Linked DNA regions of Diceros bicornis minor. The protein of the gene in region 1 purifies or fractionates together with the protein of each later gene. This does not show direct contact. Links are inferred from orthologs where the notes say so. Each region holds a gene or a part of one and is shown on either strand. Other genes may lie near its edges.

What was found.
Region 2: the proteins of MAGOHB (region 1) and PYM1 purify together in Homo sapiens (co-immunoprecipitation; 3 studies listed by BioGRID and IntAct, with this or other methods). This does not show direct contact. The link is inferred for Diceros bicornis minor from reciprocal best matches to the Homo sapiens genes MAGOHB and PYM1.

What each region holds. Positions count from the first base shown.
Region 1 is NC_080756.1:50,340,258-50,356,207, reverse strand, and holds the start of MAGOHB (protein mago nashi homolog 2), read right to left. Parts: upstream 5,790-15,950; 5' UTR 5,749-5,789; coding exon 5,655-5,748; intron 3,438-5,654; exon of another isoform or gene 3,394-3,437; coding exon 3,335-3,393; intron 2,643-3,334; coding exon 2,532-2,642; intron 586-2,531; coding exon 503-585; intron 1-502. Other genes in the region: tyrosine-protein kinase STYK1, read right to left, coding at 12,743-12,947, 15,752-15,848. UniProt on the Homo sapiens protein: Required for pre-mRNA splicing as component of the spliceosome. Plays a redundant role with MAGOH in the exon junction complex and in the nonsense-mediated decay (NMD) pathway.
Region 2 is NC_080756.1:12,802,822-12,817,614, forward strand, and holds the start of PYM1 (partner of Y14 and mago), read left to right. Parts: upstream 1-6,709; 5' UTR 6,710-6,747; coding exon 6,748-6,781; intron 6,782-6,844; exon of another isoform or gene 6,845-7,527; coding exon of another isoform or gene 7,528-7,546; intron 7,547-14,793. UniProt on the Homo sapiens protein: Key regulator of the exon junction complex (EJC), a multiprotein complex that associates immediately upstream of the exon-exon junction on mRNAs and serves as a positional landmark for the intron exon structure of genes and directs post-transcriptional processes in the cytoplasm such as mRNA export, nonsense-mediated mRNA decay (NMD) or translation.

The DNA.
Region 1 (15,950 bases):
AGGACATTTTAAGGGGAAAAGAGTGGGAAAAAATAACAGGAGGCAGAGAGATTTTTCACACAAAGACAATGGTATGTGCTATAGGGACACAGAACTTGGGAAGACATAGACAGCTAAAGCCATACTTAAGCTCTACTAGATTTTTTCCATTTATTCGAATTATTAAACCCAAGGAAGAGAAGGACATGATATAGGGCTAATGAGGCTGATATAATCCAATAAGGATTTCTCTTAAATTTTGTGACACTATGTGCAGATTTTTACACAAAAGTAGCTAATAAAACTTGGGCATTTTATATAGCTGTTAGATTAAGATTTTTTTGGCAATCAATAAAATACACTGCTAACTTCTTTGATAAGTCTTTAATGACAAAAATCAGAATTACAGCTGCCTAATAAACTGATAGGGTGCCACTGAAATCTTAGCAACCTAGCTATAGTTGCATCTCTATTAGAGATAATAAATTTTATCAATTTAGTCAAAATGCTTTAACATACTTACTTTGACTGATTTACATCAATAAGAGAACCTATTTTTGATGTGGTAAAAGAAATATGTTCATCTCCAATTACAATTTCAAGTTCCTGAAAAAAATAAAATAGAGAAATGAAGTTAATATAAAAGTCCACCCCAGAGATATCTGTATTCGTGCTACCAAAATGTCCCAATTTTAGCTGCAAGGTTTCTGGTAGTCATAGAGGAGGGGAAAAAAAAAGAAACGATTTGTTAAACAGAAACCGCATCTATAAAATAATAACCTCATCAACTGTTCAATAGTCCCCAATGTTAGGACCAACCAAAACTGCTTTCCAGAGATCTCATAAAGAAGATACTATAAAATGTCACTTAAGAGTGACAGAGAAATGTTACTTATGTCAGTAAAAACTAAAGGCATCACTTTGAAGCATAATGTAAAAATAATATGGGTAAGCCTATTTTTAATATAATAAATACAAACACATTTACCCTTTCTACCAGGCTCTAAAAATAAAATGCATAATATTAAAAATAGTACCTCTTTAGCACCTACTATGTGTCAGGCCCTGCTGCTAGGGACTTTATAAACATTATCTGTAATCCCTAAAATACCCTTATCAGGTAGGCTTTATTAGGCTCATTTTACAAATGTGAAATCCAAGACTCGTAAGGCAAAGGAAAAAACTTGTTGATATTTCAACCACTAATAAGTGATGGTACTGATATTTGAATCCAGGACTGCAAGACTGAAAGGCTCATACTCTTTCGACTTCACAAAACATTAAAATTAAGAACTAGTAAAACAAATACAACGTAATGTAGATGTTCCCAGTGGGCCATAATTACTGTATAAATTTTTCTCTATATTTTATCTGCAAATCCAAAACCAATAATTAAGAGGCTACGTCTGTGATTTTTCAGGTTAAATAACAGACGCCATTAAAGATATTCTTAGCTACACAGTTGATCAAAAGACCTAAGTATGTACAGTTTATGCCACACACAAAATGGAAAATTAAGTAAGACTCAAACAAACATAGCATCTTCGACTTAAAGATCCAATGGACAACTTCTGGAGCATGCCTAATCCTCCCCCACCAACCAAAACACATGAACACATCACTAAGTGGGTAGATGAAAACATTGGGCTCTCCGAGTCTAAAAGAGATACACAGTTTACTGTCGCTGTTTATTTTTTAGTATACATGTGTATATACATAAAATAAACTGAGATCTAAACTTACTTTTTAAAAGTGTTTACAATGCATAAAATAAATACTGTTAACTATTACCTTTGCTTTCCTAAATAATGTTTCTTTAAATAGAAGAGTTAAGTTGCTGCTACAGAGCATCAGCATATTAGATTTCTCCACATTTTCTTCTAGTCAAAGAAGGTGTTATAATGTATAATCCTTGGGAATATAAAAAAGTGAAATTAAATGCTTCTTCCTCCAGGGGTCGTATCTCATTTCTCCAAGAGTTGAAAGGACCCAATTCAGAAATCAAACTGCCTTTCCACAGAGTGAAATGAGGCCTTCAGAGCTCTTCAGAAGCCCTCTGAGACACATCAATTACTCTGAAGGGAATATGAGAGGCAAAGGTCAGTTTGAATAAACCAAATCCTTCTCTGGGGCATAAAGATGCAAATAAGAGTTTTCAAAGTTATAAATTTGGAGACAATAAATTTTCATAGTCAATGAGATCCTAAATCTCGAATTTAACAAACACCTGTTCTTATTCCTAATAAAAGTGATTAACATATAATACATATTATTCATAACAATGTGAAAACATGCTAACTTTGTGGTGACTACAGAGGAGACTGTTCAGAAAGATGTCTAAATTTACAGCTATGCATTGCCTCCTTTACTACTGGGAAGTAGCAGAGAAAATGAGGCTAAGTAAAAGAAAATTAAAGAGTATTTCCCAGGTGCCTACTAAACAGAAAACCAAAGAATCAATAAGGATCTATTTTAAATAAATAAAGAGAAACACAACAATTATATTATCAATTTCTAATATTTATGCATTTAAAGAATCACTAAATACAAACCTGTCGGCCAACCCTGTCAGGGGGAGGCCACAAAGCATCGTCTTCTTTTGTAATTTCACTGTCATCAATAATTCTCTTCAGTTCTTCCATTACACTCTTGTGTACATAAGCCTGAAAATAAGTCATAATAAAAATTTCATAATGCTTCTCTATTGTTTCCCACAACTCAGAAGGAAATGACAAAACGTAATTACAAACCCTGAATATTCAAACAGAATATCACAGAAAAATTTAATTATAATTCCAAAAGTACAAGATGGGAGAGAATCATTCATCCTACGTTTTTTCTTCACTCCCTTGCCCTTTCCTTTAATATATATTTTTCCCTCTTCACATCACTAACTCCCTTTTAAAACTCTGTATTCTGCCTTTGTAACATGGGATTCAAACATCTCCAAGCGGTTAATGGTGACAATGCAAAACCTATGAGGTGAACAGAGACAAACGCAAGTGCACATCATAGTGCTCTGAACTTTTTCTTATCTCCAACTTTTAGGCCTTTCATTTAAAGTTCATACTGTGTTTAAATCATGATTATCAATTAACAGTGAATAGAGTAAAATGACAAATTATAAAATGAATTAAATGATATGTTCAAATGTGGGACTACAAATTAATATATTCAGATTGCTTCTTTCGTTGTTACAGATGCTACAATTATACCTGATTTAAGTAGAATCCCTTTTCAATCTATAAATTGGCTTCTTTTTTACAGTACAGCTTAGATATACTTTAGTAAATTCAACACAGACAAGAAGAAAATGAGCTAAATGTAAAAAGTTATACATTCAAAAAAACCTTACCTCTTTTCTGATCATGACATCATTTTTGTAATTGCTGTTGTTGGCATATCTAAGCTTTCCTGTGGGGAGTGGAAAACAATTCAATCTATAACAGCAAAAACTGCTAAAAAAAGATAAATGACATCGTAAGCAATTTTGAACATAAAGACTATTTTATACTACTAGTTTTATTAATATTTCCTCCCTCCTAGCATAAGATCAATGCTAGACATATAAATACTCAAAAATTTACTGGTAAATTGGCTGCAGTTGAAGCTACTCAAATTTTTAAATATTCTATGCCTTTGATATAATTTTTAAATATTCAATATAATTTTTAAGTATTCCACGCCTTCAATGTAATTAAATATAATGGAAGGGCCATTTTCTTAAGCTATGTCATGAACTAGACAGGGAAGCTGAAAAAGGAAGAAACGTTTCTTTTAAAGTTTATTTTATATGTCTGTATTTGTGCTAAGTGATTTACCCAGAGCATTTAATCTAATCTGTAAAACAACCCTAAAATGTAGGTTTTATTCTCTCACCTATTCATAGGTGAGAAAACAGTTAAGTAACTTGCCCAAGGTCACACAAGATGCAGATCTAGATCTACCTTCCTCCAATACTCACGCTTTCCTCGCTACTCCAAAATGTTCTTTTAATTATTTTCTTTCAAATTAATGTATGTATATAATATGGCAATGCTAATAGTTTAGAATCGTGACTAGGAAGCATACAAACTATGTGCTGCTTCTGGATAAAGGCTGGCCAGTTTGTTAGCTGATCTATGTTTAATTTTAATCCATCATGACTTTTGTACTCCCTGATACATGCTTCTCCTCACGCCTAGTCAGTTGTCCAGGTAAAATGTAATGTGGTCCTGATCCTCTAAAATGATAGGTTACCCTAATGAGGTGAATCCCTTAGGAATCACTGTCTTTGTGAGTCACTATTACTGATCAAAGTACGTGGATGGTGTGGTGGCAGACAAATGGATGAGAACCACTGTTCAGGCATGAAATTTCCCTGATAATAATAGACAATTTATGTCACTGGATAAAAGTAACATGAACAAGCTAAATGATGTTCACAGACAAACGCACTGAAAACAATATCACAAAAGGAAAGAACAGATAGAGAATTCAGGTAAATTGGCTCTTTAGCTACATTTGGAAGAGATCTGAGAATAAGGTGATGAAAGTTTCTAAATAATTGCAGGGTTCTAGTTCCTTACGTTCTGCCTGAAACGTCTGATACTCTTCCCCTTTTGTAATATGTGATCCTCTCCTAATTTTTCTTTCATGCTTTCACAGAACTTTGTCCAAAGCATGAACATAGCACCTAACACTTAATATCCATACTGCTTTATGGTTAGTTTCATGTCTGTGTCCCTCATCAAAACATTTAACTCCTTGAGGATAATTAAAGTCTTACTCGTTGTAAATTCAATTTTCGTATTTACACGTAGCCCAGCAAATAATATGCTTTCAAAAAAGAAACGTCTACGCAGTTGGACCGTCCTTGTTTCCAGAAGAGTTCAGTATACAACAACACTCTCTAAAGAGAATCAGAGCTGTGAAAAGATAGACTCTGCTTCACACTACATGGGCAGCAGGCAGTTCCACCTCGCCCTAGGCTCAGGCAGCTCTCAGCAGTCTGACTTTTTTTCTCAGAGGCCAAGAAAATACCTACTCTCATTTCAAGACTCATCTCAACTGTCACCTTCTCTAGAAAGTTTTCCCCGATTCCTTCATGTAGAACTAACCGCTCGCCTTTTTTTATATTCTTAATACATCCAATGAAGAATAACTGTATTTAAGTACGCAAAACACTCATTTTTCTACACGTCGAGCGCCCCCCTTCGGAGCAGGTCTCCTTCGTTTTTCGACATGTTGCCTTACATACAGCGCCTGAATGAATAAAATGGATGAATGGGTAGTCGGAAAGTTACTGGTCCGGGAAGATTGTAAGTATCCATCGGACCACCGCGTGGTGGGGTGTTCTTAAAAATGTTCAAGCACGTATTAGGTCGATAAACCAGATGGCATTGAAAGTCTCTTCCGGTGTGCTGATTCTAGGATTCTGATTAACGTGGGTTCAGCTTTTCAGTATCTGGCATGAGTGGCTTTTCTGAATTAATTTCCACCCTTTAATTATCTTTTATTCACAAAACCAATTTAACCTCTTATATTCCTTAGCTCCTCTTTACTTCGTCTCAAGCAGCGCTTGCAAACCCGCGGAGGCTCGCACACCCCACCCCGCCTCCTCCGCGGCCAGCCCCGAGCTTCCCCGAGCTCAGCGCCGCGCTGGGTGCGGCCCCGGCGGCCACTCCTCTGCTCACCGTCGGGCCGAAACTCAAACTCCAGAAACTCGTGTCCAAATTTTCCCTTGTGCCCTACGTAGTAGCGCAGGTAAAAATCGCTGGCCATAGCCATTTTCGTTCCCGGAAAGCCCGCCGAAGGCCTGGCCACCGTGCCGCCGGGCGCCTGGCAGTGACGTCAGTCGCCCAGGATAAAATCGTCACCACGGGCGCGCCCTTTCCGCCTCCCGGGTCCCCAGGGGAAAGGGGGAAGGTGGCGTCTCGGAGAGACCCGGAGGTACGGGATGGAGGGTAGTAGCGACGTGTATGTAGCTTTACTAGGATTGGAAGCACATTACTTTCCAAATTAAATAGATCCAATTATATTAGCAAAGCAGAGAAGTGTGAAAATACGATAGCCTTTTTTATGGGCTTAGGAAGAAGGTATGCAAATCGCTTTTTCCGAGTCTCTAATTCTCGCGGGATTTTTTGAGCTTGCTGTGGCATCATTCCCCTTTAAATGGTGGGATGAGTAAAGATAAAGCCCAGAATAGGTGGCAGACTTGGATACAACGCTTTCTCCTGGTAGGTTTCTAACACGGGGCTTTCCCCTTTGGACAAGGATTGCTAGTTATCCGGCAGCTAGAAACCTGTAATAATAGAGACAAAGTAGAAAGAATCCATCAGACAAAAGGTGTGAAATTTTGAAAGGCACATTGACACTGAAAATTCCTTACAGTCATGGTATAAAAGAGTTCCTTTTAATAGCAAAACTTCTTTCATTCAGTAAAGGTTAATCTTCAGTGGCCTGTGGAGTGTTGGCAATATGACTTAAAATCAAATGTTTTAGCCCACGTTTCCTACCAAATAAAACTAAATTGGAGAAGTGAACGAATGCTCTAGTGTGGGATGGAGCTTGAATAATGAGGAAACACAGGGTGAGCTTTTACACAGTCTATTCTTCAAATATTAATGACCACCCTCCTTTTATCAACACACAAACTAATCCTGCCTGTTGGGTGACCTTTAACCTCCAGTGGGATTTAGTAGAAAGAGTGGCTGTCAGAAGACCTGGGATTCATTCCCAACACGTACCTCTACCTAACCTTGGTCACGTCACTATCTCTGAGCCTGTTTGTTCATCAACCAAGTGAATATTCTACAGTCAATTTTTCCAAGCTCACAGAATTGTTGAGAGGATCAAATGAGGTACTGCATGTAAAATAAACTTTAAAATTTATAAAACATTATATAATGAGTTTGTCAAAACTCATTGACAAGCATTTCCTATGTGCCAGAAAGGGTTGGACACTAGTAATAAAAAGATAGAGCCCTTTGCACTTGTAGTCTGTAAAAGAAAGCAAACATGTAGACCAATAATTGCACAAGGTAGCAATTGGTATAAGAAAGAATTTTTTTAAGTGCTGGTAGTACACAGAGGAAGCAAGTCACTTTATTGGAGAATAGAGGAAGTTGAAGAAAGGGAAGTATCAGGGAAGGCTTGTGACAAAATGTGCTATTTGAATAGGACCTTGTTGGATAAGTTCAGTATATGTTCAGAGGGATGGGAAAGCATTTCAGGAAGAAAACAGCCTGAGCAAAGACACAGTTGTATGAAAATGCGTGATGTGGGAAAGCCAAAAAATTTAGTATAGCTAGAACATAAGGTTCATGTAAGTGGAAAAACTAGAAAGGCAGACTGGGCCAGGTTATGTTGAGTCTATATTAATTGTATAACTGTCAATATAGAAATCCATATTAACCATTGTATAAGTGTTAATATAGAAAAATTATTCAGTTCGTACTATAGGCTGCCATTATGGAAAATACACAAGAAACATAAAGAACCATCCCTTAACACTGGGGTGAAAATTAACCATTTCACTTTGCCCAGGACTGAGGAGTTTCCTCAGATGAGGGACTTTCAGTTTTAAAACCTGGAAAGTCCCAGGCAAACTAAAATGAATTGGTCACTGTACTTACTACAAGAATACCGCACAGAAATTGGACCACACTGTTGCATAGTATCTCTGAAAATATAGGCATAATCCATTTGTTTTGTGGGAGTTTTTTTGTAGGGAGCCTCATTCAGTATCTTTCGATTCCCTAATGCATTTATTCAGATTTTTGGCACATGTGCCAGTGTTCATCCTCATGCCTACTGGAATAGAGCTACAGCTACCAGAACTGTGACTACGGAACTTAAGGAATATACAGTGTTAAGAACTTTATCTGTGGGCCAATTGTTGTCTTTATCCCCTAAAAAGACTCCTGAGCTCAAGACTAATCCTTTCTAACCCTGTTTTTAAGATGAAATGTGAAAATATGTGTACTTAATCCGTCATATATTTAGCCCCCTAAAAAACGTCAAAATGTATATCTCTAGTATCACTATGTTAGTGCTGTCTAGTCACCTCCTGGGGACCCCGTGTAAAGCAGAACAGAACCCTGCCCCGTCTTTTTGTGCCAACCTCTCACCTTCCAGTGCTGTATCAGAGAGTGCTTCACTGCTAGTCATAGAGTTTTCACCGCCAGTTTTTCTGGAAGTGGGTGGCCGGGTCCTTCTTCCTAGTCTGTCTTAGTCTGGAAGCTCTGCTGAAACCTGTCCAGCATGGGCGACCCTGCTGGTGTTTGAAATACTGGTGGCAGAGCTTTCAGCATCACAGCAACATGCGGCTGCCACACTATGACAACTGACAGATGGGTGGTGTGGTTCGCTGACCGGAAAGACGAACCCAGGCCGCAGCGGTGAGAGCACCAAATCTTAAGCACGAGACCAGCAGGGCTGGTATCTAGTATCACTGTAAGGATTGCAAAGGGATAAAGCGTTTGTGTTTTGTGTTCTTTTTGGATGTTGCAGAGACGTGGAAACGTTCTGAATGGCTACTGAGCACTTGAAATGTGGCTTGTGAGACTGAGAAACTGAATTTTTTTATTTTTAAATATTACTTAATTTGTATGAATTTAAATTAATATTTAAATAGCCACATGTGTCCACTGACTGCTGTAGTGGACAGTGCAGTTATATAAGAACCATTTCGTACACTTTTACTTGAGCTGGAAATAGTGAAAATATTTTTTGAACACTGAGACATCTCAATCTCAGTTACTGTAGACTTCAAAGTAGGGCTTCAACACTGGTGTCACCACAGTTTGTTTATGAAAATAAATATTTGAGCTGCTTAAATGAAGCCAAATTAAGAACTATTTCCACCTTTGCTAATGCAACCTATCGGTGGTCAGCTTCAAAGCACCCGTGTGAAGTAGTTAAGAAATAAATGTATTTCCAGCTTCAGCTGAAATTAGGGCTTAATGATTTAATCAAATACATAATATTCATTGGCAAAATAATTGTTTCCAACTAGAGTTTTTTAGTTTATTGCTTTCCGGTGATGAATCAAGTCAGAGGGCTATGGTCAGAGATGATTCTTTCTTATAATTGTTAATTTAGTCTTTTAAAACTTTCTGCTGATTTTTCCTGTGTCTAAAATTCTCTCTTCCATTGATCTCTCATGGCTGTTCTGTCCTCACATCTGTTTTGTCTCACTATTTAAAATTATCAAATCATTCCTAATTACAGTTTTCAGAAAAATGTTCTGACTTTCCTGTGATAAACGCTAGAGAAGATAGTTTTTTGTTTTTATTATTTTATCAGTAGCTTTTGAATAGTTTTGATTTTGTATTTACAAGACAAAAACAGTCAGGACTATCTTTTTCCATTCAATGGATCAGAGTAGTAAATCAAGAATATTATATGATCTAAAACAACATTCTAAGGTAATTTAAAATTTTTTAAATGTCAGAATGAAATGGTCTACTTCAACCTTTACTCCATCCTCCCACCTTTCTCTCCTCTCTTCTATAATAGACTTCCCTGTGGAATTTTAACCATATATGTCTTTTTAACCATTCAGTGGTATTACTTTTTTAAAGAGAAACACCACCATGCAGAAACACCAAAATTTCCACACCATTGTTTCTCAGATATATTCATATATGGTGAGCACTTAGAGCTATTGCTAGATGATTATGACATGATAATATATTTAATTGCATTATTCAAACTAATAATTTTTTCAAGCATATGACAATATTATATGCATCTAACAAATAGCATAAACACTAACACTTATGTCCAAAACAAATAAAAACAGTGTGCTAAATTAGCATAATAGGCTATCCTCCCAGTCTGCCAGTGTTTTTGCTATCTATTTCTTTGTTTAAATGAGTTATGGCAAAAATTTCATAAAAACTATTACAGCAAGGTTTGTTTTTGCTATCTATTTCTTTGTTTAAATGAGTTATGGCAAAAATTTCATAAAAGCTATTACAGCAAGGTTATGATTAAGAAGAGTCTACCCATAAACTTACTTTTTCTTTAAAAATGGTGAAAAAAAAACTTTTATTATTCAATTTTAATAACAAAATACCTAAATCTACCATGAAAAACACTGCTGTTCCGTATGAGCATGATTTGAAAACTACTAGTTCAGACTATTCTAAGTTAAACTACATTGTCAATTTTCAATTAGACACGGTATCCAGGTGGGTGTTTGCTCAGTTCCTAGATGTGCTGAAATTTTTTTTTAACAATAAATCATAGGTTGGAAAAACAAGACTGCGGTAGGGGAAAATCAAAACAATACAACAAATCCTAACCTGTATTCAACATGATAAAATGGTAAATATTTTAATTCTCTTTTCCATTCATTAGCTTGGAAATAGCTGGTTTAGCTGATAAGTCAAAGATGCCAGAAATGTAATCCCCTTTTTGGAAAAAGCCTGGCCAAGTGAGGGAAAAACTCAGTTTTTTTAGAATAAGCAATTACTGTATTCAGTTTTCCAGACCTATATCCAGAAAAAAAAATTACAGGTCAAAATTTAAAATAGCTTATCTGCTTCTTTCCCTCATACCAAAACTCATATTAACATACAATATGAAAGAGCAGTGCTCCATGTCATTATGCGCCACGTTCCTCCCACCTCACTCTGCGCCCAGCCCACTTACCTCCTTGACGTTCTTCAAATAAACTATGCTTTTTTCTTTCCTCAGAGTTTTCACACAGAGTCCTTCTCCTGGAAGGCTCTTCTCACTCTTTGTCAGGCCAACTTACTCATCCCTAAGGTCTCAGTTTAAATGCCGTTTCTTCAGGGAGGGCCTCATTTTATACTCCCTTATACTGTCCTCCACGTTTTCTTCATAGCACTTACCACAGTTTGTGATTAACAAATACCCACACTAGTATGTGTATAGTATCTCTTTCTAGACTGTAATCGAAAGCTCTGTTTCGTTTATCTAATATCTAGCACAGTGTCTGGCACAGTTGGCCTTAACACTTAATTTTTTAAAAAATATTTGAATAAATAAATATTTTGTAAATTTGACTTAAATGAACAGTCGAGAAGCAACAATGAGATTCCACAGGACTTTGTGCCAAGCCACTCTGTCTCCCTTCTCCCTACTGACACTCACCATTTAAATCCTGATTGGTCCTTGTGGTATTCCCACAGTGCCAGAATCATTATTCAGTTGGATGACTCATCATGACTCCATCAGGATTCTGACTTCTACAAAATTTTCAATGGCCAGTCATCTTTCCTACAGCAGCAGCCTTAGATGTCCCTCCCAGAATACCCAGAGTATTCTGTAAAATCACAGACCACATGTTCAACTGAATTGTCATCATGATGTTATTTTCAGTATTTTGAAATGGTAGGAGACTACTATCATCATCCAGAAGCTCACACAAAAATGATGACTTTATCCTTTTAGTCATGTGGTATGTGCACCACATCATCAGCTTTAGGCATGACTGCCTTACAGTGTGATTGACAGACCAAGGTTCTGTTCTTGGCCATAGTAGGTTTTAAATGAAAAAGATGTGAAAGAGTCTAGGATAGGAAGGGGGAAAGAAAACATTTATTGAGCACATATTATGTGCCAAATACTGTACAAATACATACTCTCATTCAATCCTCATGACAACCCTGTGAGGTATATATTATCCCCATTTTACACGTGAGGAATCCCTTTTCTGACAATGTAGATTGTCTCTTGAATTTTTCTATTGCCATTAATTTCCATTTATTTACTTTTATCCTCCCTATTGTAGACATTTTGGAAGCCGTATACCAGAAAAGCCTATTTTTACTCAATAAATATTAATTTAATGAAATAAATTTCACAGTACATCAGTAAATGATTGCAAATCAGAAGCTGCTAGCCTTCTGTCTCAGAATACATCCTTTTCTAGCCCTTGTTTAAGACATTCTGTCTTACTAAGCATTCTTGCTTGGTTTCCACATTTCCTGTTTATTTAATAGACACATAATATATTCATCGCTGACCGAACTAACTCTTTAGGCTCAATCTCCCTAGTCTTATAGGGACCAGGAAGCTAGCCTGATGAACAAGACGTGTTGAATGTTCTTAATCATGAATTGACCCCTCCAGCTTCTAGTTAAAAGTAGTACCGACAAGGTACTCGTCTCTCAGAATTAGAGAAAAGGGGACCATCTTTCTCTTATCTATAGCCAAGAGGAAACTCAGAAGTTTTCCTTCATGGTTCTCCTCTAGCCCTGCATGATAGGACCAGAACTGAAGAACTTTACGTCCTTCCTCCTCCTTCTCTTTGAAGGATAAACTTGGTCCACATCTATACTCCTCAGCAAGTAAAACCTTTAATTTTCTCTTAATCAACTTCTTTACTGGCTTTCTATTCCCTCATTTGATTGCAATTTCTCTGCACCTTATAATAGGCTAGATAAAAAAGCATGCTTCAGGAGGAAACTAGCCTGTGGTGGGAGGGACCAGCTTATTTGTGCCATGCCGCAACAAACACTGCAGATTTCTAAAACCTCCTTTGGAATGACACTGTCCACCACTTCTCTCCTGGGTCTTTAGGATTGGGACAGTAGAAATGAAACTATATTTCTCAGTCTCAAGGGTATATGGTGTGTAGAGCCTCCTATAGCATCATGTCAGGTATCTAGGGAATGTGTAGGGGAAGATCCAGGATCCATGTCCCATTTCTCTCATTATGTCCCACTAGAAAGTCTATTCTCTGTTCTTGGAGGAATTGGCTCCAAGAGTATGTGATCACCCATAAATGTTTCTTGCCCTGGGATCTTCAAAGGATGCTGTAGCTGTAGGAGAGGCTCTCCACGCTGATGCCCGCCACAGCTGCGTACAGTTCAGGCACCACCAACTCTGGTACTTGCAACACAGCCTTGTCATCTGCAGTTCGAGCAGCAGTTTCTAGGCGCGAGTGTAGTTCTCTAACTGAAGGGCGGCTGTCCTCACTCCAGCGCCAGCAGGACTTCATAAGACTATACCTGAAAGGGAAACAAGAGAAACTGATGCCTTGACGAGGCAAATGTTTGAGGAACATGTCTTCTCTCCTAACACACCTTAACAAAAAACCCTGCAATTCTTTAATCTACTTCTCATTGTCCTGTATCTCATATTCTTCCCAGAGAATAATATTCCTTCTCATCCTCAGTACTAAGTCTCTTCTCAACAGGGCCCTTTTTATAATAGGAATGACTGAAGATTTCTCAAACTACAATCAGTATGACAGAAGTTTTTTTTTTTTTCATTCTATTGCCAAAAACTCTTTCAGAAGTTAGGCGTTCTCATCTTTAGATGCTACTAACTTGCAGCATTCTAGACCATTGCTATTACTTATCTACCAGTAAAAGCTACATTACAGCCAGGAAAATAAGAAGTTATGGAGTAATATAATTCATATTAATTTTGGATAATGTAATTAGATGTTTCCTTCCATTAATCCAGGTCATTTCCCTCCTTTATTATTTAGCTTCTCCAGGAAATCACCTTAATCTAGATAAAAGTACTTACCACCTTTAATCTGTCTTTTCTTCAATCCATTTTACCAAGAATTTACAAGGTAGTCTGTTTTCATACACTTTTCATCATGTCTCATGTCTCATCCTTGCTCAAGACCCTACGGTGGTTTCCCACTGCCTGCTATATGAAGTCGCTATCCTACCCCCTAGCTTCTCTACCACATAGGCCTTGCCTAACTGAAGCTGTCTCCTCCAGCCAAGTCAGTGTCTTGCTATGCCCTAGATGTGGTCATTAACACCCAACTCTGTCTTTGCTCATGCTATGCCCAGTTCCTTCAATATCTTCTCCATTGTCATTGCTTCCTACAGTTTTGTTTTAAATCTTAATTCCTCTGTGAAACCTTCCCTTATAAACTTCAGCCCACACTGTGCTGCCCACACTCTTTAGTGCTGTACCATGAGACTCTGTAAAAGATGCTACTTTAATAACACTGCTAACATTTACCAAGAACTTATTATATGAGTCATGGTAGTGGAACTTAACCTGCATTATTTCATTTTAGCCTCACAATATCTTTGAGGTAGGATTATCATTGTACCTATTTTAAGATAAGTAAACAGTGTACAGTAAAGTAGCAGGATTAGGACTGAACTTATGCCTTTTTGACTCTGAATGAATCTGAGCTTTTAATCATTCTAGTTATTGCCTCACACTTTATGTGGATTTTCATGTTCTTTCAGATATCTCCTCATCCAAATGTTAAGTTCTTCAAGATCAGGCACTTTATCAGTTGAGTGTCTCCCCACAGTATCAAGGATAGCCTTTTACACATAGAAAGCCTACAAGAAATATTTGTCAGCAATTTCATTCTAGTATACCCAACCAGTATCACTATGTGTGTGTGTGTATGTGTGTTGTATATATATACATAAATATACATAGTTATGATATTTAACATTTATAATATGCTTTATATAGTAACTATTTATTATTGGGAAACCCAGGTGCTGGAAATTGACCATTTCAATGCTGAAAAATTTACAAAATAGCAACAATTTTAATAGATATCTATATTAATATTATTTTCTCCTGCCTTCTTATAAATCATTTAACCTTTTTTAATGTTCTGTAACAATTCCTTTTTGTACTTTATTGGTTGTAAAATTCTGTGTAATTTTTTATTGAAGTATAACTCAGATAACATTATATTAGTTTTAGGTATACAACATAATGATTTGATATTTGTATACATTGTGAAATGATCACCACAATAAGTCTAGTTACCATCTGTCACCATACGAAGTTATAATTTTTTCTTTTTCTTGTCAGGATAGCTTTCAAGATCTACTCTCTTAGCAATTTTCAAATATGCAATACAATATTATTGGCTATAGTTATCATGCTGTACATCCCTGTGATTTATTTATTTTACAACTGGAAGTTTGTACCTTTTGATCCCCTTCACTCGTTTTGCCCAACCTCCAACCGCCCTCCCCTCTGGCAACCACCAATCTGTTCTCTGTATCTATGAGTTTTATTTGTTCCTTTGTTTTGTTTTTTAGATTCCACATATAAGTGAAATCATACAGTATTTGTCTTTCTCCATCTGATGTATTTCACTTAGCATAATAACCTCAAGGTCCATCCATGTTGTTGCAAATGGCAAGATTTCATTCTTTCTTATGGCTGAGTAGTATTCCACTGTATATATATACACCACATCTTCTTTATCCATTCATCCCTGTGTGTAATTTTTAATTTTTTCATTTTCTGCCTCCACGTTGGTTCACCAACTGACCTTTCTGCTGACAATATTGAATACTCCTTTTCCTGTCTGTCTAATTTTCTCCTACCCCCTTCTTCTGATTGGTTTCTAATGTGCTCAGAGCTGGGAAACCAGATAGTCAATAATTTTTAAAAGTTAAGTATTAAATAAGAGCCAGTGAGTAACTCTAGTACAATGGCTTTTATGGCAGCTATATTAGTACTGCAGCTGGCAGTCTCTGACTGAGCTGACAATTAGACAAATAAAACACTACTGTACTTGCATTGGATTTGGTCTACTTCTTACCTGTTGTAGAAGCTTCCAGAGGAACTAAACTTTATCAAACTTAGATTCCTAATATAGTTCTCAGTGGCTGCCTCAAAATTGTATCATATATATGATATATGAACAGATGTGTTTTACTGCATAGGTTTGGTCTAAGGCTGTACATTACCACATAAAGGACAGCTGGGGATCATCTGAGCCACTTTGAAAAGGGCATGATTGATGAGGAGCAAAAAAGATTTGGAATGAGAGAAGAGTAGGCCTTTAAAAGCCACTTACATTGTGTGTGTACAACTACTGGGTCTCTTCATGATTTTCCTTCTTTGGAGATGCTGTAGAATGCTGGTGGGAGGGACTTCAGGATATGGTGGTGCCCCTGTTGGTATGGAAAGAATGATAGTAGCAAGAGAACTTTAGGGTCTTCTAGAATATGAACTGTAACTAACACTACTCTCCATCCATCTGAGATAATTGCCTG
Region 2 (14,793 bases), about 38 Mb from region 1:
TGCATGAATGATGCTAGAAAGCACTTATTGTGGTACTCCATCCAAGGCTCTGACCTTCTACCCACCCCACCCCCACCTTATTTAGGGCTCCTTGGGTCAGGCTCAAGGAGGCAATTAAAGCCTAAAAGAACTTCCTTTCTGATAGTGTAGCCTCTGTAGCCTCTGCCCTTGGGACAGCTCTGCCGCTCACCTCTGTGTAGCATACCATTCCTGTTCTGGGGGCTCTCTGGGAACACTTAGAAGGGGGTTCTGGGACACTGATATTCTGGAGAAAAGACTGCACCCATCTGGCCCTTTTCTATGACTATAATCCAACTTCTACTGCCAACAGATCTAATGAATACAAAATAGTTTTATGGTTAATGGGGCCTGTATGGCTTAATTAGCCTCTCTCATTACCCCTGGGGATTCTTAGATGGCTCCAAGGCTCTAGGAAATGGAATCTGAGAGAGAAAGTGACAGGGAGAGAGCAAACAAGGGATGACAAACAGGAGAGAGGACATGATGCTTCCCTCTCATCTTTCTTTTCACAGTGACCCTTCCTAGTCCCCCAGGTCTTAGATGTAGATTATCGTAGAGGTTAGGAGAAGGACTTTTGCATTAGATAGTCGTGGATTAGAATCCTAACTCGTGGGGAGTTATTTCATCTCCCTGAACCTGTTTCCTTATTGGTAAAATGGGTACCTAGAGAAATCAGTAACAATGCGGGGACTAAATAAGATAATATGTGACATATACTTAGCAAACTGCATGGCACAGAGGAAGAACTCAATAAACATTAGCTATTATTATCATTATTTATAGTACAAGGGTGGTACCTAGAGAAACACATCTGGAGATTAGGAAAAATGATGTCTTTGACCCAGCAAGGCATAAATTCTAGGAACTTCCAGTACCAATGAAGCCTAGTTGTACATCTTCCCTCCTCTGTCATATCTCAGGCACAGATATGAAGTATCAGGGTCGTGTAATTTGCCTCTGGGAGGGTGAGAAGCTGGCTAGAAACTAGACTGTCAGGGTCCAAAGACACCCCTGGGCTGGGACCTGGGACCAAGGACACTCCTGGCTCCTGGGATCTTTTCAGTTTCCTCCTGACTTTTCTCACCAAAAGTTTGGCTGCTCCTGCTGCTGGAAGGCAGCAAACCGCCAGATCCTGGGGCATTAAAGACCTGGAACAAGTCCAATTTTGTCCTCCAGCTCCATCCCAACCCGGAGGCTATAACCTGGGCTAGTCCAGGCGAATGCCAGGGCAGTGGAGGGTGGGGTCCGGGGCCCTCTCGCCAGCTATTTGTGACTCACCCTTCCCTTCCCTCTTCTGATTTCCCTGTCCACCTCTACCAACTTGGGGTAAGAAAGTAAGAAGTTGACTTGGAGGCAGACACTCCTAGAACATCCTCAGAGCTGGGAGGCACCAACTGCCATATTTTACAGAGGAGGAAACTGAGGCCCAGAGAGAGAATGAGTCTCTCAGGGTCACACCCAGACTCTAGACATCTTGTCCTTAGTCCGTTCCACTAACATTTAACCAGTGCCTCTGGTTTTCTAGATCTTATTTTAAACATTAAACACTAAAATTGCTGGTAACCAAGAGATAAATATGATTTCCAAAGCTTAGTGCTAACATTTAAGGTTTCCTTTTTCACGTCAACATTCATTGCTCACATTCCAAGTCTTGTAAGTTTACAATTACTCAAGAATCAGCTATGCCCCCGAACATTCCGGCTGACTCAGCAAGGAACCCCAAAAGGCAGGCACTCCCCTTTGAGGACCTAGGCCTGCTTACCTGGACTTCTGAATCCCTTAACCACACCAGGGCCTGCATCCTCCTCCTCTTTTACAGGACTGAGGGACGGTCTATTCTTTCCTGCCCATCCCTGCTACTAGCCCCTGAGAGGGCATCATTTGGCTTAAAGCCTCAAATTTCATTCAGCTTCCACAAACATCACAGATGGTAGTGTTACCTGATTAAGGGAGTGGGGTGTGTGTGTGTGTGTGTGTGTGTGTGTGTGTGCACGCGCGCGCGCGCGGGGGGGGGGGTGTCATTGTGTAGTACAGGAGGAAGTTACAGTGTTGGCATGGTTGGGGGATGTGGGCTCATACCTTCTGAGGCTGAGGAGATGCCCAATAACATTTGCATTTCTTACTCAGTAAAGCTCCTTTCCCCCATTTAAAAGTGAAAAGTGGGATTTAGACCCAGGTAGTTTCAGAAACTTCCCGATGACAGGTGTGGAAAGGATAGAGGTGGGAAGTTGGGGACCAGGAGGCCAAACAAGAACCCCTCTCCACCCGTGCAGACGGGTGTGGAACTGTCCGTAGAGGTTCCACAACAGACTTTCCCCTGACTCTGGTCCCAAGCAGCCGAGCCGCACCATCCCTCCGAGTGAGCGGGAGGGATGCAGGGGAAGGTCCGGGGAATCGCTGTCTGCCGGGTGCTGGCCCAGCCCTCCGCTGCCCCTCGCGTCCTGGCGCAAACTCTTCTGGCTACCCGCTCCAGCTGTCACGCTTCCTCCTTCTCCACCCAGCAGCCCTACCCCAGCCCCTGGGGCGTCCCCGCCCGGGCCCCCAGCCCCGCCTGCTCCGGGTGGGAGGGCGGGAGGCGGGGGGCTCGCGGGGTCTCTACCTTGCCTGCGGAGGGCGCGCGGTCGGAGCTGAGGTGCCGGCGCGGGAGCTGGAGCCCGTGCTGGGCTGGAGGGGACGGGCCAGGCAGAGGCGGCCGCCGGAGCCGCCCCGCTCCTGACGACACAGCTGCCCGCCCCCGACCCGGCCCGCCCGCCCGCGCCCTCGCCCGGCGCCCCCATCTTCGGGAACTCCAGTCGGACAGGCCCTGTCTCCAGTTCACCCAACCTGATTCCCCTTGCCCCCGAATATCTTCAGGGCTCTGGTCTGTGCCACTTTCTCCACATCCTGCGCTTCTCATCTTCTTCCCGCCCTGGGACAGCTCTGTTTCTTTCCATCTTCCTTTCTTTCTAATCACTCACAGCCTCTCCCCTCGTCTCAACCCTGGGAGACCAACATAGGGGGTGGGGCTGCTGATGGGACAGCTTGGTTGACGCCCACCCAGCCAGCGTCTCACCCTCTCCTAGTTGCTGCCATCGGGGATTTCCCTTCCCAACTCCTTTCCATCCACCACTGACTGAATGCATACTTGGGAGATCCCACAGCAACAAGGCCAGAGTTCCAGACTCCACATCCTGAGACCCATATACCTCCCTCCCCCCATGGGCTTCACACTGCTTGATGCGACTTGAGAGAATCTGGCCACCTTTGCCTTCAGGTTCCTCATCTCCCAAAAACCCAAGCCCCGGTTGTCTCAGACTTGTTTTCCCCAGTCTAAGGACACCTCCTTCTCTCAAGACTCAGATCCTTCCTTGAATTCTGCGGTGGAAGTTTAGGTGCAAAGAGCACTCTGGTCCGTGGCCACCCTTTCTCCACACCCTAACCCTCCCACTTTACCTGCTGGCCTTGGCAGGTGGTGTAGAAGGCCCCGGAAAAAAGTAGGGGTGAAAGGAAATCCTTTCAGCTTCTCCTGTCTGGAATTTCTTCTGGAGTTGTTAAAGGCTCTTGGGGCAGCATGGATGGTGGCGAGGCTAGTAGAGCAAGAGAGAGAGACAGAGGCCTAGGGACTTACTGGTAGGAACTGGGGACCCAGGCATCCTGCTCCCTGGCCCCACCCCAATCCCCGGTCTCACCCCCTCCTACCTTTTATTGAAGTAGGGCACAGTGACAAAAGCTTGAGTTCCTGGAAACTTCCCTCTTACACCTGGTGGTGGAAGAGAGGGGGCAGGGAGAGCTCTGACTGGAAGGGTGTATGTCTGCGTTGTATGTTGTGTGTCTACGTACACACATACATACACACACATAATATATACATACTTTTGGCGGGGGTTGGGGAGAAGGAGTGAATACATGAGGCCCCCTAGTGGAAACAGAGGGATCTAAGCAGTTCTTGATTGTTTCAAGACAGACTTGTCAGAAGAGACACCTCCATTTTTGTCAGAAATACAGCTGCTGAGTAATAGAGTTTGGCAGTACTGTTGTTGCATCTGAACTGGAGATCTGAGGCAGGGGTTGGAGAGGGTCTGTCTCTCTGCTCCAATCTTAAAAAGACAAGGGCCTTGCCACTCTCCATCCTTCATCCCCCCTTCCTATACGACCTCCTTAGTCATAAGGAATCATAAACACTTTTGAAGGCCTATTATGCACCAGGTCCTGTACTTAGTTCCGCAGCACTGCCAAACACACAGCCCAGCATAGGGCTGCACCAGAGTGGCTTGGTGTGTGTGTGTGTGCAAAGCCTCTCCACTCTAAGCCATCCTAAACAAACATACAATATAAGTAAGAATTTAAGTCCCCTAGCCCCTCTTCCAATCAGTTTTCTGCCCCTGAATCCCTCATCTAGAATTCCTGGAATGATACTAATCCTTAAGGCACTCAGCTTTCCTTGCAAATAATACTCACAGTGATACTACCCTATGTATGACCTCTGTTTGTCACTTCATCATCCTCAGATATGTCCCTACATGAAGTTAAAGACACTCCTTTTAAGTCATTTTTTGAGACTTCAAAGTGGGGCATGAGGCAATCTCTGTAATAAGGAACAAGATGGAATCAGTCATGCTCTAGGCTTCTTTGTGTCTTCTTTAGGATCTGTCCCCATCATACCCCAAGTCAGTTATTGGTGGGGGTGGGGGAAAGAAAGGCCAAGAAACATCTAAGGAGGAGGCGTCTAATGCCTACAGTTCCAGGTGCTCATTTCTTTAATCAACCACATCATAAAAGTCAGAAAGAAAGAAACCACAATGAACAAAGGGAAAGGAAAAAACAACAGTCTTGTTCTCCCCAACCTCTTCTTTCCCCTCTTCCTCCTCAGGGTGGGGGGCCACATCCGGGGCCCAGGGCTGGGTCTTAGGCAGGTCTGCTAGGCAGACACTTGAGTTTCACTTCCTGTCAACCCCAGAGCTGAGGCAGGATGTCTGGGGGCACAGTGGGGTGGGTACCTAGCATTGGGTAGTCAACAGGGCCCACTTTAGGATTCCCTCTTGCAGAAAGGTCCATTGAGCAGCGCACTAGTACTAGTACTCCTCAGGTAGTACAGTCAAGACCAAGGCATCCCTCTAGTTTTCACAGGCTTCATCTCACACTCTCACCTCTAATCATTAGTAACAAGGCTAAGGACAAGATGTTAGACCCAGCAGGGCTGAAGCACAATTGGTGAAAGAGCGGGGGTTAAGGATGGCAGTGTTAGAACACTTGCAATAAGTGTATTGAATGCAAACCAGTTTTTAAATGAGTCTTTTTTTTTTTGAGACCTTCTGAGTTGGTCCTCTGGTGGAACTCAGGAAGATGGAGCATGGGAAGGAAGGCAAGCTATGACCCGAGAAAATTTTTGAAGCTTCATTTCAAAGCTTTGGGAAGTTCCTAGGCAGCCATTGCTCTCAGTTTTTTGTTTTTTAAGTGAGGCATGCAGCCTAGTGTTGGAGGTGTCACTAAGCTTCGCCTCCTCTCTCCTCCCTGGTTCCAGCGGTACTGTTGGACATTAACCTAAACCAAAGCCGGGGATTTGGAGGAAGGTAAAAGGGTTGATAAGGAAAAAGCAACACGGGGGTGGGGATGGGGGAGGGCAGAGCGGACACCTGAGGAGAGAAACCTGCAGCCGGCCCCTCCCAGGCTGTAGGGGAAACAAGTTTAGCAGGACTTAGCCCTGAGGGAACAACAGCTGCTGAAAAAAGCAAGGGAGGGAGAATTCTCATTTGGGTTCTTCTCAAGAATAGGGAGGCTCGGAGCAGGGCAGGACTGCAAAGGGAGTGACCGAACGGGCCTGGATTATTGGCGAGTTGCCCCGTTTTAGAGCCCCAGCGCCCAGAGACTTGGACGAGGTCAATTAGAATACTAATGAGGTCCGCCCAGAAGCCCTCACCCTACCCTCTGACCCCGGGACCCAGCCCGAGGAGGCTCCCGGGGTCGAAGGCCAGAGCAAATTTAGGCCGTCGTCACGTCGCCGCCCGAATCCCCGGGGCCGCCCCAGGGGCAGGGCCAGGCCAGGGCTGCCCGCCCAAACCGGCCGGCCGCCTCCCGGGCCGTGGAAGCCGCCGGCAACCCTGAAGCTGCGGGGACAGGTGACCGGCCGGCAGCGCCCTCCGCCTTGCAGGCCCCTCTCGCGGGTCCCTGTCCGGAGGGTTGAGCTGGTGGTCGAGGACACTCGGCAGGCGATTTCGACCTCCCCACCTTCTAAGAGAGGGTTAGTTGGGGTCTTCCACTCGCCCCCAACCACATCGGTGCGCCCCAGTGCGTTCCCCGAGTTTGCCTGCCCCTCCTCACGTCCCCTAGCCGCTCTGGGACCTGGGTGCAGGCCAGGGCCTGAATATTCTTCCTCATTTATCAGCCCTCCTGTCCGGGTGCAGGTGGGCCTTGCCCCCTTTTCCTTCGCAGGTCCTGGACGGACGAAGAGTGCCTGTGAGGAGAGAGAGGGTCTGTGCCTCGGAACTTCTCTCGGCGCCCAAAGGACTGCTTTACACGCAGCAGGCGCTCAATAATGGTATCAGTGGCAGTAAAAGAGTCCATGGCTTTTATTTTATTAAAGTCTTCGGCTTCGCCTCCCTTCTTCCTCCTTCACCCTCTGTACATGAAAATGGTGTACTCTCCCTTTAAGACTAAAATGGTGGCCTGCTACGATCAGGACTCCACTTCCGGTGGGGAGGGGGGCGGGACCCCAGCCCGCTCACGCCGGAAGTGGTTTGCGTTTTCAAGATGGCGACTCCCTATGTAACTGACGAGACCGGCGGTGAGTGCGGGAGGCGCGGAGCCGCTTCTCCCCGGGCTCTCGGGGCAGGGGTTCGGACTTGGAAAGGGGTCTGTGCCCCGCCCATCCCGGGGCCCCTCCTTTGCCCCGCCCTCCGGACCGCCTTCTCCATTCATTCTCTCCTACGGGGTGTTACCTGCGCCCCCTTCTGGTCTCGTGTTTGGGGGTCTCTTGCTTCCGGTCACCCAAACCCTGGGGTCCTTCAATGCTGGTCTCTGCTCCGGGACCCTCACGAGCCCTTAGCTTTTCTCCAGCAGTTGGAGCTCCCATATCTCTTTTGGGTTATCCAGCCTTGGGGGTTCCTACACTCCTCAGTTCTCTCCAATTCCTGCCTTCCCACTCTTCCCCTCCCCCATCTCTTAGCTATACCCGCTTTCTGCCCTTCCCCAGCCCCGTCTTAATTCTTTTTCTCGAAGCTGGATCTGTTGAAGACCTGCTCTTTGCTACATAGTGCTTTTTTCCACTCTCTCCCTCATCTTCATTGTTGGGTCACTGAGGTCTAGAGGTGTGAAGAGAAGAGGAACCAGTAAAACTTTTCAGCTTGAGTTTTTCTCTTTGATGGCGCCACCCCCCTCTGCCTTCTCTGGTGATGATAATAGGAGTTGAGGAATCTAAGGTGGAAGAAGCCAAACAGGAAGATGTCTAGTGGCCTCTCAAGCCCTCTGACAAGTTGATAGAACCCACTATTCCTTCTGGCTAGAGAAGAATTTCCTGCCTGGCTGATTGAGATGCTGAAGTGTCGGCTGTGTATGTGAGGTTTATGCGTTGAAAACTGAGAATCAAGATTTTCATTGTGATTTTGTCCCATCCTAATTTCCTCATTTTTAGAAAAATGTGTGTAGTATTATCTAGCCAGTGACGATCAAATAAGATAGTATATGTGAAAACAATTTATAAAATACTGTGCAAGGCAAGGTGTTACTGTTTTTTGTAGCCCTCATTGTGTATGTGTAGTCTTCTGTAGAAGTGACATTGTACGTGTGCTGTGGTATATACAGTCTGTTTTAAAATATGCCATTTATGCTTCTTGCTTTGCTGCTTTCCATGTTCCTTACATCTCAACCCACCTCTCCTATGCTATCTAATGACAACCCAGGTCTCTGCTACTTCTCCCCACCTTGCGTTTCAAAGTAGTATAACCTCTCTTCTCCTGCTCTCTACTTCTTTGACTAGCTCCTTTTAATGTGTGCTTTGAAAATATTACTCAGTGTCCGGTGTACTTCTCTTTATTCTTAACTGTTTTCTTTAAGCTGATTTAATGAAAATCCAGATATCACATCTCACCATCCCTCCCACGAAGAGGTATCTTCTGTCCTTTGTGACTATGTGGAAGAGGAGAAGGAATCGTACTGCTTTTTTGCTCTTCTTACTGCTTCCAGATCATTAATCTACCACTGTCACTCTAATCCTGGTGGAAGGTACTGGCGTGCAATTATAGCATTTTCTCTGAAACCTCAGGGCCATCATCTACTGCCCACAAGGATCCAGACCTATTGCGTCATATTTTTTTCTCCACTCTGTTTCTTGCTCTCATTCTCAGTGTCTCCAGCATTTTTGGAATACTCTTGATGTTATAGTTCCTCAGCATGAGACCATTGACTTTCCTTTGTATTTTCAAACCAGCTACACATCAGAATCACTACAACCGGGACCTCACCTATGACACTGCTTCCCCTTCCTGGGCTCCCCATCGCTTACGTTAGCCTCCTTACTGGTCACCTTTTTCACTACCTCACAACCACAGAATCAGCTTTTTGCCCTCTTTAGGTTCTCTGGTTCTTGACCTTTCCTGTTTCGTTGAGTCTACCAGTGCCTTCATGATTACCTGCTAGACCTCTGTGCCCAGCCACTTTGATACTATCCTCATTGCTTTCTTCATTCATTTTGATCTTCTGTGTTAAGCAAGGACTTCTGTTATCTTGAATCATACCCATCAGCTGTTTTCTTGGCTTCTGCTTCTAGGCCACAGCACATGGCTAGAGAAAAAGCACAGAAGCTAGCACACTCAGTATAACTTCATGTCAACTTCTGCCAAGATCATGGCTTCTCTCAGGTCTTTTTTCTTGGTTTGCTTACATTCTGTCATGGCTGTTTCCCCCACCTTTTCCAGTTCTCTCTGACCCTCTCTTTTAATTCTCTCTCTTGGCAGATGAACTCACTTTCTAATTCATTGAAAAATCAAGGCCTATTACTTCTTTTTTTTTTTTTTTTTTTTAAAGATTTTATTTATTTATTTTTTCCCCCCAAAGCCCCAGTAGATAGTTGTATGTCATAGCTGCACATCGTTCTAGTTGCTGTATGTGGGATGTGGCCTCAGCATGGCCGGAGAAGCGGTGCGTCGGTGCGCGCCCAGGATCCGAACCCTGGGCCGCCAGCAGCAGAGTGCGCGCACTTAACCACTAAGCCACGGGGCCAGCCCAAGGCCTATCACTTCTGTTTCTTTCCTGTTCACAGCCTGATTTCTTGAATATCAGATCTATGCGTACTATTTCCATTTCTTCACTGCTTGTTTCTTAGCTTTTTACAGCCTTTATTTCTAACACCAGCCTTGCCTGAGTTGCCAATTCCCTTTTCTAATTGTTTGGTGAGTAGCTTTCATTCTTAGATATAATGTCACACCTCAAATCCAATCTGACCAAAATCGGTATCAGTTTTTCCTTCCTTGTTTCTGTAAAGGTACCATTGTTCTACCCAACCCAAGATCAACTTTTTGCATCATTTCTCTCTCTCTTTTTTATTTTAAGTAGACTTTATTTCTTAGAACAGTTTTAGATTTATAGAAAAATTGAGAACATAATATAGACAATTCCCATATACCTTACACTCAGTTTCTCCTATTATTAACATCTTACATTAGTATGGTACTGTTATTGCAATTAATGAACCAATATTGATACATTATTATTAACTACAGCCCATGCATAATTCAGATTTCCTTGGTTTTTACCTAATTTTTTTTCTATTCCAGGATCCCATCCAGGATACGACATTGCATTTAGTTCTCATGTCTCCTTAAACTCCTATTGGCTGTGACAGTTTCTCAGACTTTCCTTGTTTTTGATGACCTTGACAGTTTTGAGGAGTACTGGTCAGGTATTTTGTAGGATGCCCCTCTATTGGAATTTGTCTGATGTTTTTCTCATGATTAGACTGGAGTTATGTGTTTTTGGGGGGATGATCTTAGAGGAAAAGTCACATTTTCATCATATCATATCAAGCATACATAGTTAATGATTTTTTTTACTATTGATATTGACCATGATCACCTGACTGAGGTAGCGTTTGTAAGGTTTCTCCACTGTAAAGTTACTTTTTCCATACTGTACTCCTTTCCATACTGTACTCTTTAGAAGAAAGTAACTATTCACAGCCCACACTTAAAGAGTGGAGAGTTATGCTCCCTTCGTTAAGGATGGAGTATTTACATACATTATTTGGAATTCTTCTGCACAGGAGATTTGTCTATTCTCTCCCATTTATTTATTCAGTCACTTATTTATATCAGTATGGACTTTGGGTTATAATCCAATACTATTGTATTTATTTTATTGCTCAAGTGTTCCAGGTTTGGACATTGGGAGTTCTTTAATGGGCCGCGTGTCCCTTTGACATACCCCCATCAGTGTAGGTTTTTGGTTATGTGTTTGTTTTTTTTAGCTCTTCCTTACTTTGGCACTAGAAGATGCTCCAGGCTAGTCTTGTATATTTCCTGCCCCAGTCCTAGAATCAGCCATTTTTCCAAGAAGCCCCTGTTCCTTTTAGTGGAGAGTGGTATAGGAAACCAAGATCAGAGCATTAGGTGTTTTTGTTGCTATTGGGGTGTTGTTTTGCATCATCTTTTACTCCTCTCTTGCTCCCCGTGCCACACACACACCAGTTGTTCACATATCACTCTTCTGTTCCTACTGCCATAACCCTTATCCCGTCTTCAATACTTGTTAGCTGTATGGCCTTGGGAATTTTAAGCCTTGGGAATCTAAGCCTTAGTTTTCTCATCAATGAAGTGAGAATAATAATCCTACAAGTTAAATGGGATTATTGTGAGAATTAAAATTTAAGTGAAATAATATACATGTCTGGCACATAGAAAGTACCCAACAAATGGTTCTGTAATTATTAGTTACGTAATGATTATCGTATGGATTAAAAGAGATTATATGTGCAAGTATCAAGCATAGTACCTGGGTCATTCTAAGTGCCTGATAAAATTCTAGTTTCCTTTATCTTGCAGATTTTGCTGTGACCTCCTAAGTAGTTGTCCTATCTCCAGTCTCTCTCTCTGTTCCAGTTCATTTGACATACTGTTACCAGATTACTGCTCACCAGATTACTGCTCCTTAAGTATAAATTTAGTTATGTAATTTTTGTTCAATATAATTCATCCACCCGGAGTCCACTGTTAAATTTGGCATATATCCTTCTGATCTTTATTTTTCCTGTGCATTTTTAAAACATTTTTGAATCAGGTGGTATATACATTTTTATATCTTGCTTTTTCATTTAACCTTATAACATAAATATTTTGCCTTGCTATTAAAAACTCTTTGTAAACATCTTTTAAGATACTGGCAGAGTGTTTTATTGTTTGGGCACGCACCCTCTCTCTTACCTTTCTTCTGTTATTGGGCTTTTAAATCATTTTCAGAATTTGTTATAAGAACTCTGTGAATATTTTTGTGCATAAATCGTTGCGGAAATTTAGGGTTATTTTCTTCTTATTATTAGGATATAGATTATTTAGGATAGATTTCTCAGAAGTAGATTGCTGGGTTGGAGGATACAAACATTTATCTATTTTTTTTTTTTTTTGTGAGGAAGATTGGCTCTGAACTAACATCCGTGCCCATTTTGTATGTGGGATGCCGCCACAGGATGGCTTGATGAGTGGTGTATAGGTCCGCACCTGGGATCCAAACCTGCGAACCCCGGGCTGCCAAAGCAGAGCGCATGAACTTAACCACTATGCCACCGGGCTGGCCCCTTATTTATTCTTTAATTATAAAATTAATTCATCTTGATTGTAGAAAACTTGGAAACTGTTTTCACAAGTAATATAAAATATAAGTCACACGCATGTTCGGTAATTCCAGAACCCAAAGATAACTACAGTTACATTTCCTTTTAGCTTTTCTTTCTATGTACATATATAGCATATCCATATTTAACATAATTGGGATCATAGTGAATGGCTGTAGTTTCCAAGATATGATCGTCAGAACACTTAGTAGTCCTGTGAAATGTGCTACAAAATAAAGAACATAAAAATAAGATTCCTGTGGTCAAGTAAATTTGGGAAACACTGTAAACCATATTCCCATCTTGGATATTCACATGAATAAGAACATATTAACTCATTTAAGTCTTGCCTATAAAAACAAAATCTTTTTTTTTCTGTGTTTAACCCAGAATTCCCCAAACAAAAACTTTGAGAAATGCTGCTAAATGATAGGACTACTTTATATTCTCTTGCTATATTAGCCAAATTGCTTTCTAAAGGGTTTTATCATCAACAATATATGAATATGCTGATTTCAGCATTTCTTTGACTGCATTGGTATTCTCATCTTTAAAAATTCTACTGCTTCAATAGATGCAAATGATATTTTATTGTTTTAGTTTATATTTCCTTTGATTATTAGTGAGGTTAAACTTCTTTGTTTTTGTTTTTCATTTATAACACAATACAAAATAGTAGTGTAAAAAGCACAGCCTTTGGAACCCACAGCCTGGGTTGGAATTCTGTTGCAGTTTACTGACTTTGTAACTTTGGGCAAGTTACTAAATTCCTTATCATCTGTAAAACTGGAATAACTCTGCACGGAGTTGTGAAAATGAAATAATGTATAAAAACAATGAGCACTGTCCTTAGCCTGAAGCAAGCGCTCGATAAAGTGTAGCTGCTGTTATCTTTTTCAGGATTGCCTATCAAATTTCCATATGGACCATTTGCTCTTACATTCAAGATACTACTCTCTAACATGAGCACAAACCACTTTTCAGTATACTAGTGGCATCACATGCTACGTCTCTGCCTATACCCTGCAGTGAACCTGGGCTATGTAGTATAAGACAGGTGGAACAGCAGTGTGCTGATGTGTAAGCTTGGGCATCAGAACTGAGTTCAGATTGCACCTACATGCTGCTTCTGTGATCTTGGACCTATCTTGAACCTCTTGAAGACTCTATTTCCTCAGCTGTAGGTGATAATATCTACCCATTGTCTAGATTCAATAAGGTAATGTATGTAAAGTAATGGCATAATGTAGCTACTTACTAATAAATGCTTTTTCCTAATTGTTCTTAAGATACTGTGAGTTTTCCACTGCTATGATTTAGCTTGTTATTATTCTACCTAGAATGCCCTTTCCCTTCCTTTCTCTGTGCAGAAATATTAGCCACTAATTCATTGTTGTTGTTAATTATTACTACTACTGCCTAGTCTTTAGGGTCAAGTCCCTGAGATTTTCCTGATTTCCTGTCACCTTCCCCCATCAAACAGGGCTGGTTATTTATTCTCTGGAAATCTTTCTGTATGTATCTGTGTCTCTTAGGATACCTAAGACATTTATATTTGTGTCTTATTCTTTGTTTGCCTAACTTGCCTACCCACCTCCTTACTTAGACTGTAAATTTCCTGAAAGTAGGGACCATTTTACTCATCTTGATATCCCTGTAGCACTTAGTATAGTACTTTTCTCATAGGAGGCTTTCAATAAATGTTATTGCATTTCATTAATTTGTAGTCTGGCCTCTGACCACTCTATCTTTCTAAGGCTGTGTTCTTGGAGGTAACTCAGGATTTCCAAATTGCCAAAATCGGTAACCTTTTTCTTCTCAGTTCTCCTTTTCCTTAATCTATTTGCAGTATTTAATATTGTTAATCACCTGCCCTTACTTAAAACTCTTCTGCTTTCCATGGCCTAGCACTATCCTGGTTCTTTTTTCCTAGAATCATTTCTTGTTGTTGCTGACACTTTTTCTTCCTTGAGGAGACTGATCATGACCATTTTTCCAGGGTCATTCCTCCAAATGGGGTCTTCTCTTTTTATAGTTTCTCTATATTAGAAACCACATCTAGGTTTTATAATTTTTGGCCCTGAGATCATCCTCAGCCTCAGATCTGTGACCTAGATCTCCTTTCTTACTTGAAGCAGGTCCCAGGGATTCAATACTCCTTTAACAGTCACTTCTTCCTCACCCCTGGAGTTCTCCCAAGCCTTGCTATGTTGTTGTCTCTTTACTGTCTTCCTGCCGCTCCTGAAAACAAGGCCCTTTTCAGTTTAAGGAAACAGATTGAGAATTACAAAACAGCAGATGTGAGGAAATAACAAAGGTTACAAAGTTCATAGAGTAGCAGTCTCTAATTTGTAGTTTCTAACTCTCTCAAAGATGTTACCTGAAAATCCTGATATTCTACCCTTGGTTTTTATTTCTGGGGGTAGGAATCACCAAACCTCTCCCTTCTTTTTTACCTTTGGATACCATCACGGCCAGGGAATGGGATCAAAATAACATAAAATAGGTGCCCTTTGTGATAATGGGCTATTTCTATCCCTGAGGGCCTCTAGTTAGGATAGCCATTCAAGAAGCTTCTGCCCTATTTTTTCTCACATTCTCTTTACTAATCTTAAATCCTCAGCTATAATTTCTGTGCAATTTACTTAAATATATGTTTCTAGCATTGTCCCTTTCTCCTTAATTCCATGTAAAACATTGCCTATCTAGAACTGAATTAGTTATTTTCACAAAGTTTTCTTCTCCTCTGGACTTTTCTTTATATCAGTGGTTTTTATTGTTCTCCAAATTTTCCACAGTCAAGAGTGATATTGTATGAGTTTGTTTGTTTGCGTTCGTCTTTATTACCTCTCTTCCTCACTAGAATGCATGCTACAAGAAGTCCAGACCCTTGCTTGCTTTACTCATTGTTGTAGCCCCAGCTCCTGTTACAGTGTCTGGCACAGCAGCAAGTGCTCAATAAACATTTAAAATCCGTG